Linked DNA regions of Arabidopsis thaliana. The protein of the gene in region 2 purifies or fractionates together with the protein of the main gene of each other region. This does not show direct contact. Each region holds a gene or a part of one and is shown on either strand. Other genes may lie near its edges.

Evidence for each region. The genes of interacting proteins can lie anywhere in the genome.
Region 1: the proteins of BRL3 (region 2) and DL1E purify together in Arabidopsis thaliana (affinity purification with western blotting, with the first as the bait; one study listed by BioGRID). This does not show direct contact.

The regions. Positions count from the first base shown.
Region 1 is NC_003074.8:22,243,639-22,249,574, forward strand, and holds DL1E (DYNAMIN-like 1E), read right to left. Parts: upstream 4,339-5,936; 5' UTR 4,014-4,338; coding exon 3,867-4,013; intron 3,778-3,866; coding exon 3,714-3,777; intron 3,627-3,713; coding exon 3,519-3,626; intron 3,395-3,518; coding exon 3,293-3,394; intron 3,208-3,292; coding exon 3,157-3,207; intron 3,066-3,156; coding exon 3,004-3,065; intron 2,866-3,003; coding exon 2,775-2,865; intron 2,683-2,774; coding exon 2,618-2,682; intron 2,428-2,617; coding exon 2,233-2,427; intron 2,141-2,232; coding exon 2,021-2,140; intron 1,932-2,020; coding exon 1,861-1,931; intron 1,780-1,860; coding exon 1,554-1,779; intron 1,477-1,553; coding exon 1,426-1,476; intron 1,340-1,425; coding exon 947-1,339; intron 858-946; coding exon 729-857; 3' UTR 531-728; downstream 1-530. Other genes in the region: AT3G60180 (P-loop containing nucleoside triphosphate hydrolases superfamily protein), read right to left, coding at 1-118, 199-250, 348-377; AT3G60200 (uncharacterized protein), read left to right, coding at 5,682-5,936. UniProt on the Arabidopsis thaliana protein: Microtubule-associated force-producing protein that is targeted to the tubulo-vesicular network of the forming cell plate during cytokinesis.
Region 2 is NC_003074.8:4,344,503-4,351,476, forward strand, and holds BRL3 (BRI1-like 3), read left to right. Parts: upstream 1-1,827; 5' UTR 1,828-2,498; intron 2,499-2,591; 5' UTR 2,592-2,737; coding exon 2,738-6,232; 3' UTR 6,233-6,437; downstream 6,438-6,974. Other genes in the region: sks11 (SKU5 similar 11), read right to left, coding at 6,899-6,974. UniProt on the Arabidopsis thaliana protein: Receptor with a dual specificity kinase activity acting on both serine/threonine- and tyrosine-containing substrates. Binds brassinolide. Regulates, in response to brassinosteroid binding, a signaling cascade involved in plant development.

The DNA of each region.
Region 1 (5,936 bases), about 18 Mb from region 2:
CCAAATTCAGAACCGGACTTAATTTCTGCTCTGAGAAGATCACCAGCACTAAAATGGGTATAGCTAAAGTGCTTCACAACATTAGCACACTGAGTACCTTTTCCACTTCCAGGACCACCTATAGAATCAATCAAACCACTCAACACCACAAAAATTAACCTTCAAGCATATGATTACATAGAGTGGAGTTATTATTACCCAACACAAAAACTACAGTTGATTTCTTCCACCTAGGGCATTCATGTTCGTCCTGTAACCAAATAATATCCTCGAGAATTTAGAAAAAAATACCAGATTTTTATTAGTTACAATGATAATGAAATTGGATAGACAGGTGAATACAACACCTTATTCGGAGCATCGATAGGAGTTTCCATGATCAAGGCGATGTGACGATGAATCACGCACAAGTTTGACAAGTCCAGGCGAAGAAGATTCAGGTGAAGAAGATAGAGAAATTAAGGAAGAAAAACGGCGTGTAGTCTGCTAACGGTTGCAACGTGCATGTTTTAAACGGCACGCGGTTCTCTAAAGTGAAGCGAGACGGAAAGTACACGCTATGGCGTTTTTAAATAGTAATGATAAGTTTATTACAAAACGTCTCAAGTCTCTCTCAATAGGGTCTGATGATCATATACATACATACAAAGACATAGTCAACGAACTTAAACAACAGACGAATTTATAGTTCTCTAAAACCATCACCAGAAACACACTTTTAGGTTTTATCATCTTACCCAAGCAACAGCATCAATCTCATCTCTTGCTTTCTTGTATAACTCTAGCCTCTTCGCGCACTCTAGTCTCCGGTCCATCAATGCCGGATCTTCATCTAGTAACTGTCCCAACTGTTTCCCCTGTGAAATTTTCCGACCAACTATAAGATTTGATGCGCATACCACATAATATGAAATATTTGAGACATTCTATTTTAGCTTCAGTTTACCTCTCTCTTGCTGATCTGAGAGTAGAAGTAATTGAGCAATGCGAGCTTGGCTTGTCTAACCTGACAGTACACACAAGCTTTTGGAATGGTGTTACGAAGTGTGTCCGAAACCATATTAACATACGCAGATACATTTGATGCTATCCTTCTGAAATGTCCGTCTCCATACTGGTCTAATGTTGCAGACGAAGGAGAAGCGGTTTGGTTTTTGCTGTTGGTTACTGGTCTTTCTATTTCTTGAGGAAGTTTCCGGAAGAACTCAGCGGTTAGATACGCAGATTCCATGTCAACAAGTCGAATAACCGACTTCTTGCTTTCTTCCCTGAATTTCTCCAAGGAGCTGTTGGCTGCTGCAGCAAGCTCGACTTGCAGTGAAGGGAAACGCTTTAGCTCCTGCATTTTGCCACCAGGGAAGGGAGATCCAGTCAAACCCGTGTAGTACATTCTACCAGTATAAGAAAAATCAATAGTGAACTTACCTCAGTTTCTGATATTGATTTCCTCACAAGCTCTTTCAAGACATAGTGAACCTGTTGCATTTGCGCCATTCTCATTACGGTCTTGTATTTATAAAAGTGAAGTGAGGAGACACTGTAGAAGAACTTACAGCATCCACAGAAGCTTCAGCTGGACCTCTAAAGTAACCCAGTGCCCCTTCGATTAGACGGCGATAACCCTGTTCTGGTGCAATCAAGTGAGGTTGATAACCATCTGCCTCGGACACGATTTTCTTCACGCTTTGTAGAGAAAGATGGCGATCAAAAGGAAGCTTTTTAAGTGCAGCTGGAAGTTGGTTGTCAAAGACTCCATAGATACGGTCACCTCCAGGACGCCTAAAATGTAAAAAGAGGTTAACCAAAAATCAACAACCTAAGCAAAAAAAATTCCACAGGAAGATTAGCAAAGATGTTTACCCGCCATCAAGATGTTCCTTGAATATCTTATCGAATGCACGGCACATCTCCAATATAGTGTATAGTTGAGCCTGAGAATGAGACCAACAGATTTAGCACATATCAAAAAACGTAAAACTTTATGGAAGAGAAATAGTTTCACATAATTGTACTCTCTCACCCCAGCATCAACTGCGACAGGCCGACCCATTCGGTCTAACTCTCTTTCAAGTTCTTCAATGCTTTTGTTTATTAAGGATAGTATACTTGGAATACGGGTCCTGATAACAGACTCCAAGTGCTGCATAAAAAAACAAAGACCATAAATCAAATGAATAACAATGAATAAACAATCCGATAAAGTCTCAAGTATTTCAGCCTTTGATTGAATACCTTAGAGAGCAGCTTTGCCAGATATTCTGAACCCATTTTGCTGGCTAAGTGACCATAGTCAGGACTGGTATCAAAATATTCTCGTTCCTTGCGTCTTGCAAGCATCATATCGACATTCTTATTAATATCTGCTTGTGAACGGTTCACTATCCCAACCCAAGGATGTTGCAGCCTGTAAGATCTTCCTTCAAGAACCTTATTAAGGCAAGCAGTTCTGAATGTTAGATCAAAATTTCTAACTAAAAAAAGTAAGAACTGGAAAGCACGCTGTAGATTTAGTTACTTTTATCATCCCTAGATTGGTTTGCCAATCATAATACCAGTCATGTATAATCATTAAAGTGGACCATGACACATGAACCAAAAGAGACGAAGAGGTGCTTACTTCTAACGCATTAGTTCCTTTGTCCATCAAGTCTAACTTGGTAAGAACACCAAATGTCCTCTCACCTGAGACGATCAAAAACTTATTTCATCATCTAAAGACAGTACTTCCTGCCATATATATATATCAATCATAGGTAACAAAATAGTAAACGAACCTGTTGGATCGACATCTTTTGCGAGCTTAATTGCATCTGATGTGGCAATGTCTTGGTTGGCAGGAGATATAGCCAATATGATACAATTGGGCTGCAAACAAACAGAAATTAAGCTATTGGTACTACTAAAAAAGTTAACCATCTGCAACTAGAACTTGAGCATATAGTTTAAAAGTCGTATAAGGTTTTTGCATTTTTAAAAAAAAATGAAAGATCTAGCAATTCTCACCTTATCAACATATGTGCGAACCATGGATTCGATATCCTCAGCAATGGTTTCCGGCTGTCCCTCTGGAAATCAGAGGCAGTATCAATAACTACATATACGGTCATCAAATAATAAAGAAATGGAAACCCAAAGAAGAGGTCAAAAGAAACATACCAACAGCCACTTTAGTTAAACCGGGCAAATCAATGAGTGTCAAATTCACAACTGTTTCCATAAAAAAGAGCAAACATCAATGTTAAATCAACAAACAAGAATGTTACAGGAATCAGACTGAGATTATTAAAGATACCATTTGGAGAGTAGATACTGAGGTGAATAGGAACTGGAGATATCTGTTTGTTTTTCCCTGTGATTCTATCAGTCTCATCCTGAATCTCCCTGCGAACCAAAGCTGAAACATCGAAGAATTTTCAAGCAAAAATTCAATGAACACTTTCAACTAAAACACACTTGAAGCAGAACAAACATACATTGATATACATAACATAGATAGACATAAATGTTAAGGTACATACCAAAATCTGTGAATTGCTTCTTGGGAAGATGAAGGAACTCTGCATACTCCTCTGTTCCATCATCAGTCTTATGAAGCTGCAACACTAAAGGCCGTCTCGTAACGATACCTGCACAAACAATACTTCTTCCTCAAAACCAAAGCTCCTCCTTGCTTTATATACAAACATAAGAGAAAAGGGAAAATTTTCACAAACCAGATCCTCTAGGAAGAAAATCTCTCCCAACTATACTCTCAAGAACCGAAGATTTCCCAGAACTCTGCACAAACCCAAAAAAAAAGTAAGTTGAAGAGTCACCAGAGAGAAAACCTAGGAAGAAGTCAAAGATATTTCAACCGGAGAAATCACCTGACCACCGACGACGGCGACGGTTGGAAGAGCTTCCCAGAGAGAATTGAAAGCGTTACTTCCAGTTCCACCACCATAGTCACCGAGTACGGTACATGCTCTCTGTATCCTATTAACTAACCCAATCAAACTCTCCATAGTCGTCATCTTCCTTCTCCTTCAGTTTCAGATGAGAGAATATAAAGTTCCAAAGACGAAATTTTCAGTTCAGAATTAGAAAGCTGCTTGAAAATTCGCCAACAGACCAAAGACTTCAAGAGCTGAGAGAGAGAGACGAAGAAGAAAAATATTCGTAGGGGCAAAATAGGAAAATGAATTTAGAGAATAAATGTCTCTCTTTGATTTCTAGAAGGTTTGATTTGTGTGCCTGTGGCTGTGTGGTTCGGTCGGTTTACAGATAGCTTAGCCGCCGTTAAGGAGTCGTCTGGCTCTGGTTCGTTTTGGTTCGGTACGGTCTGGTTCTTACTTTTCTAGACGGTCAAATCTAAAATAATGAAGATAAGATTTGTGTCCCTTTAATTTGAGATATTTGTAACCTGTTTGAATTTTCGAATTTTGAAATTCCACATGGACCCCTCACACAAATACAAAATAATAAGTCTAGAAACAACAATCAACATTGTTTAGAAGGCCCAATAGATATAGAAGACTTTTAAAAGGACCCAATAATAAAGTTAGGTCCAGGAAGAGGGTAGGAGGCTATATGTATACAAGCGGTTCTCTAGTTTTTATGGGTTTTGTGTTATCCAGTCTGAATTATTTTAGATTTTATTTTAGAAATCACAAACATAAAATAATATTTCTAGAAAATTTTGAATTTCTTAGTACTTGGTAAATAATGAATCATTCTTCACAATAAACATAGACATAAACACAAAAACAATGAGTTTCTCTCAACATCATGATTTAGTTATCAACCAAACCAAACTAAATGACTGAAATAACCAAACTAACATAACATATTCAAACTAAGAAGAAGCAAAAACTAAGTATAGGTTGTCGTTATTTATTACATCATTGATTATCACATGACAGGCCCAATAGACAAGGAGACTTTAGGAAGGCTTTAAAAGCCCAATAATGAAGTTAAGGCCTATTGATGAAATATGAAAACCACGTGGCAATATGTAGAAGAAACGGACGAACATTCGTGTGAGATATGTGGAAAACGACGATGGCTCGTCTTCACCTAATACTTGTCGGCTTTTACCATCCAACGTCACATGCTTCTCTTTTAGGTTTTTTATTTATTTATACAGTTATATCATTGTTTCAAGTCAGTGGCTGAGGTAATCACTACACATCCCATTCAAATCCAATGGTATTGGTCCGTATATTGAATTAAAGAAAGGTCAACCATAACTAGATTTTATCTTCTACAACTATGAAACTATAATGGCGCGTTAGATCAATTTTTTGTAAGTTGGCAAAATTACGAACCAAAAATTGCAATTGAATCACTAACCATCGCATAATTAAATTTTGCATTAAAGAAATGGTTAGTGATAAAATGATCTGTCAAAATGTTGTGCTTACAAATCTCCATTAGATAAATAAATTAGTTTCTCTCTCTCATCTATCTTTTTTTTTGGTTTTCCGACATAGAATGCTATCTCTCTCTCTCTAAGCCTATCTCAAAACAGAGATCTTAGGAGAAGAAGACAAAATCTTTACCACCAGATCTTTTCTTCTTCCTTCATCTTTACAGGTTGTCACATCACTATAACCACCGAAACTCTCGGCCCAACCCAAAAAAAAAAAAGCTTCCTTTCGAAAAAAATCAAAGCTTTTTCTTTTATCTTCAATTCTCCTCCGATGAGGTGTAAAAGACACACCGTCGATCTCAGCAGCAGCAACGGCGTTTGCGCTTCTTGCCTCCGTGAACGTCTCCTCTCTCTCGCCGCTTCCGCCGCCGTATCAGCCGCCGTAGAAGATAATCAATCAAAGAAATCTAATAACAATAATCATCCTCCGCTTTTGATTTTCCCTCGCTCTGTTTCTCCTTACGTTACCCGTAGAAAATCCGACGCCGGAGCCGGTGGAGGAGATCCTTTAGTTTCTTCTAATCGG
Region 2 (6,974 bases):
TAATGTCGCGGGTTTTTCGACCTGCAGATGTTTTGTTTATTCTTTTCAGAAATCTATATATTATATATACATATATAAAGAAATGATTAACCAATGAAGCCTCGGTTAATATTAATTTACAGTTTTACACCATATTATATATAGCTTATAGCTTACGGAGAAACCTTGTAGAAAATTCTATCTATCCAGTTATGTTTCTCTTAATTACTCATTGATACCTTAACTGGAGTACCTAACCTATATTTGTGTTTAGGTAAAAGTAAGATAGGAACGAGAAAGATAAGTTAAAAAAAAAAGAAAAAAAAAAAAAACGAGAAAGATAACTTTAAATCGATTAATTTATCTAAATTAAAGTTCTTTTCGTTTAGTTCGGCGCAAATACTCGACCAGTTTAAATTCAAGTTCATTATATGCACGAGCAACCAAGCACGATGCATTATTGCATAAACAAATGAAATCAACGGCATCCGATTTTTTAAAATAATTAAGGGCATGTAATTAATTAATATTTTAAATTATGAAAGGATTTATACGTACGTATATATAGTTCATAGTTTTATAGAACTCCGAATTTGTTGAGGGTATATATTTGAAAAAGCATAATTTTTAAGTTTAAACAGGCCCAGTTGATTGATAATCCTAACTTAATCTCTCGTACCTACCAAAATTAAGCTGTTGTCACGTCTGTTGCATTCATAATTGGTCAACAATATTTGAGGAAATAATTATGGTAATAGTTGAAAACACTTGTATTTCCTTTTTGTCAGGATAACACTTACGTTTCATGCAATTATTTGATATAAAATGTGTAGAGAGATATATTAATCAAAATTTGGTGTGTGTTTTTTTTTCTAAACACATTCAAAACTTGGTTAATTAAGTTGGTCACTTGGTAGAAATTTAAACAAAAAAACTATGGATCCGATTTATTTATTTGTCCAACCAATACAATATTTGACAGTTGTTTTACGTGAGGTTTAAACTAATTGTAAGGGTAAAGCGATAAATACAAACAATACGTGGGGATTAGTTGCTGAAAAAAATAAGTCACGAGAGGGCATAGATAAAAAACCAATAAACCATATTTGTTTTTGTTTAACGAAGCACTAGAGCTTCATGCGTGTAGGGTTATAAAGTTACATACACGCGTGGAAAAATACGAGAACGGTGGTGGGGAATTAGGTCTCTATCGTAGTTACCGTTAATTAATACAATATATTAGAATTTTGTAGTTTTAGATTTCTCTTTTTATGATGATATTTTGTCGTGCAGATATTTATGGAAGCGTGAGACGTTCGTGCGGAGTGAGTAATATAGATAATACAGATATTGATGTAACAAAAAAAAAAGAGGATATGATTTGCTTTGGGACGTTAAACACGAAAATAGTCGACTTTAAAGGGTTGAGTAAAATAATTAGAGAAAAGCTTATTTCAGTGAAATAATGCGGTAACTGGTAGGATTTGAAGCTCGGATATGTGTTGATGCTTTGGTATTTTTCGTCATTGCATTGAATATATATGGTGCATTGAATATTTGAATATTTAGAGATTAAGTTACAACAGATCCTAAAAAAAAAAAAAAGAAAAAAAAAAAAAAAAAAAAAAAGTTACAACAGATCCGAATATTTAAATTATACGGAAACCGAACTATACATACATCGAACAAATACTAATTTACTGTAAATTATTTACATGTTGCACAAATTTTACTGAATTCGTAGATTTCTTTGACATCAACATGAGAACACTTAGAAAAAGCAACAAATCTAGTCCTCCACAAAACAGAACTTTTGTTAGATTTATAAAAGATTCTCCCCTAACCTGTAAAACTCAAATTTTAAAACAGTTGACGTAGAGTTTGATCTATTGCAATATAAATTATTTGCACGAATACTATTAGGTGGGAATGTGAGATTAATAATTAGGAAAAAATTAGTCTTTAATATAATGATTATGCATCCTCTTTTCACGTAAAGATTAGTCTCATAGTTTTGTCTTCTTTAGCTTTTTCTCCTCTTTTTTTCTTCTCTTTGCCAAATTTCTTCTCTTTCGCTTTTACATTTTCTCCAGCAAAATAAGACAAGATCTCAATCACTTCTTCTTCTTCAATTCTATCTAAAGCTGTCACGAGAAAGCCAGAGAATTTCTCAGCTTCTCATTTTGTCAAGCAAATACAAAAAGAACACACTTCTTTTTTATTTCCGGGAAAATTCGTTTTTATGTAGTGGTCGTACTAAACACGCTTCCTTTATGTGGAATCTTAAAGCAGTCCCTTTTTTTAGTTGAATTCAACAGTTTTTTTCTTTTTTTTTTTGGTTCCGGATCCGACCATCTCTGCAACATCGTACTTTGAGAGACAACACTGTCGAAGACCATCTACGTTGTCTTCTTTACTTGGAGAACTCTCTCTGTCTCTTCTCTGTACTTTCTCCCTTCTCTTTTTCCGTATCTGTCAGCCTTTGATTCCGCTTTTTTGTTCCTTCACCACATATACATGTATGTATCTTCTTCTTCTACCTTGAACAAGACTTGATTTTGCCACTAGTTATTTCAGAAAAATTAATCTTAATTTCACTTTGAATTTTTCAGCGTTCCAAGCTCATATCCGGTGAAGTTTTTGGAGGATTTGGTTGTTATGGAGCATAGGGTTTTCTCAAAAAGAAGATTCTTGAGCTTGAAATTGAAGTCTTTGAATTCTTAAGGGAATTTTATCGAACACTTTGTGGGCTAATAACATGAAACAACAATGGCAGTTCTTGATCCTCTGTTTGCTCGTCTTGTTTCTAACGGTGGACTCTCGTGGCAGACGGCTACTCAGCGACGACGTTAACGACACAGCTCTGCTAACGGCGTTTAAGCAAACCTCTATCAAGTCGGATCCTACCAACTTTTTAGGTAACTGGAGATACGGGTCGGGTCGTGACCCATGTACTTGGCGAGGCGTCTCTTGTTCTAGCGATGGTAGAGTCATTGGACTTGATCTACGAAACGGTGGTCTTACCGGAACCCTAAATCTCAATAATCTCACGGCGTTGTCTAATCTCCGGAGTCTTTATTTGCAAGGAAACAACTTCTCCTCCGGAGATTCTTCTTCTTCTTCAGGATGTTCTCTCGAGGTTCTGGATTTATCTTCAAACTCGCTTACGGACTCTTCAATAGTGGATTACGTTTTCTCCACCTGTTTAAATCTGGTTTCTGTCAATTTCTCGCACAACAAGCTCGCCGGGAAATTGAAGTCTTCTCCTTCGGCGAGTAACAAGAGAATCACAACCGTTGATCTCTCGAACAATCGCTTCTCCGATGAGATTCCGGAGACTTTCATCGCCGATTTTCCGAATTCTCTGAAACACCTCGACTTATCCGGCAACAATGTCACCGGCGACTTCTCTCGTCTCAGCTTTGGTCTCTGTGAGAACCTCACCGTATTCAGCTTATCACAGAACAGCATCTCCGGCGACAGATTTCCGGTTAGTCTCTCAAATTGTAAGCTCCTCGAAACGTTAAACCTCTCTCGGAACAGTCTCATCGGAAAAATCCCCGGAGATGACTATTGGGGAAATTTTCAGAACCTGAGGCAGCTCTCTCTTGCACACAACCTTTACTCCGGTGAGATTCCACCGGAGCTTTCTCTGCTCTGTCGAACTCTAGAGGTTCTCGATCTCTCCGGCAACAGTCTCACCGGTCAGCTTCCGCAATCATTCACCTCTTGTGGCTCATTACAAAGCCTAAATCTTGGAAACAACAAGCTCTCCGGTGATTTCTTAAGCACCGTCGTGAGTAAACTCTCTAGAATCACTAATCTTTACTTACCATTCAACAACATCTCAGGCTCTGTTCCGATTTCGCTCACCAACTGTAGTAATCTGCGAGTTCTTGATCTGAGCTCAAACGAGTTCACTGGAGAAGTACCATCTGGTTTCTGCTCTCTTCAAAGCTCTTCGGTTTTGGAAAAGTTGCTTATTGCCAACAATTACCTCTCAGGAACTGTCCCTGTAGAGCTTGGTAAATGTAAGAGCTTGAAGACTATAGATCTTAGCTTCAATGCTCTCACTGGTCTGATTCCTAAGGAGATATGGACATTGCCTAAGCTCTCCGACTTAGTTATGTGGGCGAACAATCTCACTGGTGGAATCCCGGAGAGCATTTGTGTTGATGGAGGAAACTTGGAAACGTTAATCTTAAACAACAATCTCTTAACCGGTTCTCTTCCAGAATCAATCTCCAAATGCACCAACATGCTTTGGATCTCCCTTTCTAGTAACCTGCTTACCGGTGAAATCCCTGTAGGAATCGGAAAGCTTGAGAAGTTAGCGATTCTGCAACTCGGGAACAATTCTTTAACTGGGAACATTCCAAGTGAGCTTGGAAACTGCAAGAACCTTATCTGGCTTGATCTTAACAGCAATAATCTAACTGGGAATCTCCCAGGTGAACTTGCAAGTCAGGCCGGACTGGTAATGCCCGGAAGCGTCTCTGGTAAACAGTTTGCGTTTGTGAGGAATGAAGGTGGGACGGATTGCAGAGGTGCAGGGGGTTTGGTTGAGTTTGAAGGAATTCGTGCTGAGCGGTTAGAGCATTTTCCAATGGTTCATTCATGTCCCAAGACTCGGATATACTCAGGCATGACCATGTACATGTTCTCCAGTAACGGGAGCATGATCTACTTGGACCTTTCCTACAATGCGGTTTCAGGTTCTATTCCTTTGGGTTATGGTGCAATGGGATATCTTCAGGTCTTGAATTTGGGACATAACTTGTTAACTGGAACCATACCGGATAGCTTCGGAGGATTGAAAGCAATTGGAGTTCTTGATCTATCTCACAATGATCTCCAAGGATTCTTACCTGGATCACTAGGAGGACTCTCTTTTCTAAGCGACTTAGACGTCTCTAACAACAATCTAACCGGACCAATCCCATTCGGAGGCCAACTTACGACGTTCCCACTCACAAGATACGCCAACAACTCTGGCCTCTGCGGGGTTCCTCTACCACCTTGTAGCTCTGGTTCCCGGCCCACGAGATCTCATGCTCACCCTAAAAAACAGAGCATTGCGACTGGGATGAGTGCGGGGATTGTGTTTTCTTTCATGTGTATTGTGATGCTTATTATGGCGCTTTATAGAGCAAGGAAGGTTCAGAAGAAGGAAAAACAGAGAGAGAAGTACATTGAGAGCCTTCCGACATCTGGTAGCAGCAGCTGGAAGCTCTCTAGTGTTCATGAACCGTTGAGCATCAACGTTGCAACATTTGAGAAGCCGCTGCGAAAACTTACTTTTGCACACCTTTTAGAAGCCACAAACGGGTTTAGTGCTGATAGTATGATCGGATCAGGTGGATTTGGAGATGTCTACAAGGCTAAACTGGCTGATGGATCTGTTGTAGCGATCAAGAAGTTGATTCAAGTCACGGGACAAGGTGATAGAGAGTTCATGGCAGAGATGGAAACGATTGGTAAAATCAAACATCGAAATTTGGTACCTCTTCTTGGATATTGCAAGATTGGTGAAGAGAGACTTCTTGTCTATGAGTACATGAAATACGGAAGCTTAGAGACAGTTCTGCACGAAAAGACCAAGAAGGGTGGAATCTTTCTTGATTGGTCAGCGAGAAAGAAGATTGCAATAGGAGCTGCGCGTGGGCTAGCTTTTCTGCACCATAGCTGCATTCCTCATATTATCCACAGGGATATGAAATCAAGCAACGTTCTTCTAGACCAAGATTTTGTTGCCCGTGTCTCAGATTTTGGTATGGCAAGGCTGGTGAGCGCTCTGGACACACACTTGAGCGTGAGCACGCTCGCAGGTACTCCCGGGTATGTCCCACCAGAGTATTACCAGAGTTTCCGATGTACAGCCAAAGGAGATGTGTATAGCTACGGAGTTATACTTCTGGAGCTCCTCTCAGGCAAGAAACCGATCGATCCAGAGGAGTTTGGTGAAGACAACAACCTTGTGGGATGGGCTAAACAGCTCTACAGAGAGAAGAGAGGAGCTGAGATACTTGACCCAGAGTTAGTAACAGACAAATCTGGCGATGTTGAGCTACTTCATTACTTGAAGATTGCGTCTCAATGTTTGGACGATCGGCCATTCAAAAGACCAACTATGATTCAAGTCATGACGATGTTCAAAGAGCTCGTTCAGGTTGATACAGAGAACGACAGTCTTGATGAGTTTTTGCTAAAGGAAACGCCGTTGGTCGAAGAATCACGAGATAAGGAGCCTTAAGGAATTCAGGAAGATTTGAAATTTGTTATTTTCGTCCTATTTTTGGTGTTACTGATTCAGTGTATATAACAGTAAAAAGTAATACAGACACTGAAGGGTTTTTACTTAATTTCTTGATTTCTGAAAGCTATTAAGAAATACTTCGTTGTAAAGTTTTTGTACCTAACAAATTAATCTTATCGTAATGACAATTTTGTGAGCCGTGTTATATACTTATGTGTGATGATGATTAACAATATGATAAACTTTGATTGATGGTATTTCTGCTTTTGATCTCAAGATTGGCAATTAGGGAAAGAACACTTCATGTCAGACAAAGAAGATGATCTCTGCTTATTTCGTTGAAGATTATGGATACATTACATAAGCGTTACAAAAAAATGAAGAACAAAAAAAGAGAAACTTAATGCGTCTTTTTAAAACAAGAAAAAAATTACTTAAGGGATAGACATACATACATTTCAATTTCATGTATATACGAATAAACCATATACTTTTAAAAATCAATTTTATAAAATTTAAAACAGTTAAAAAGAAAAGACCCAAAAAACCAGAAAAATAAATCCGTTAGGTAAACGTCTTGCAAATGCCTCTCAATCGATTGAATCAACAGAAGAATCCAAACTATTTTGTTGCATTAAAAGTAAATTTTTTGTAAAATTTAACTTAGGCTCCAGCGTAAGGGTTAGGCTTAGGTGTACCCTTCACTAGACCACATTGGAGGCTTGTCTCAGGCATGTTG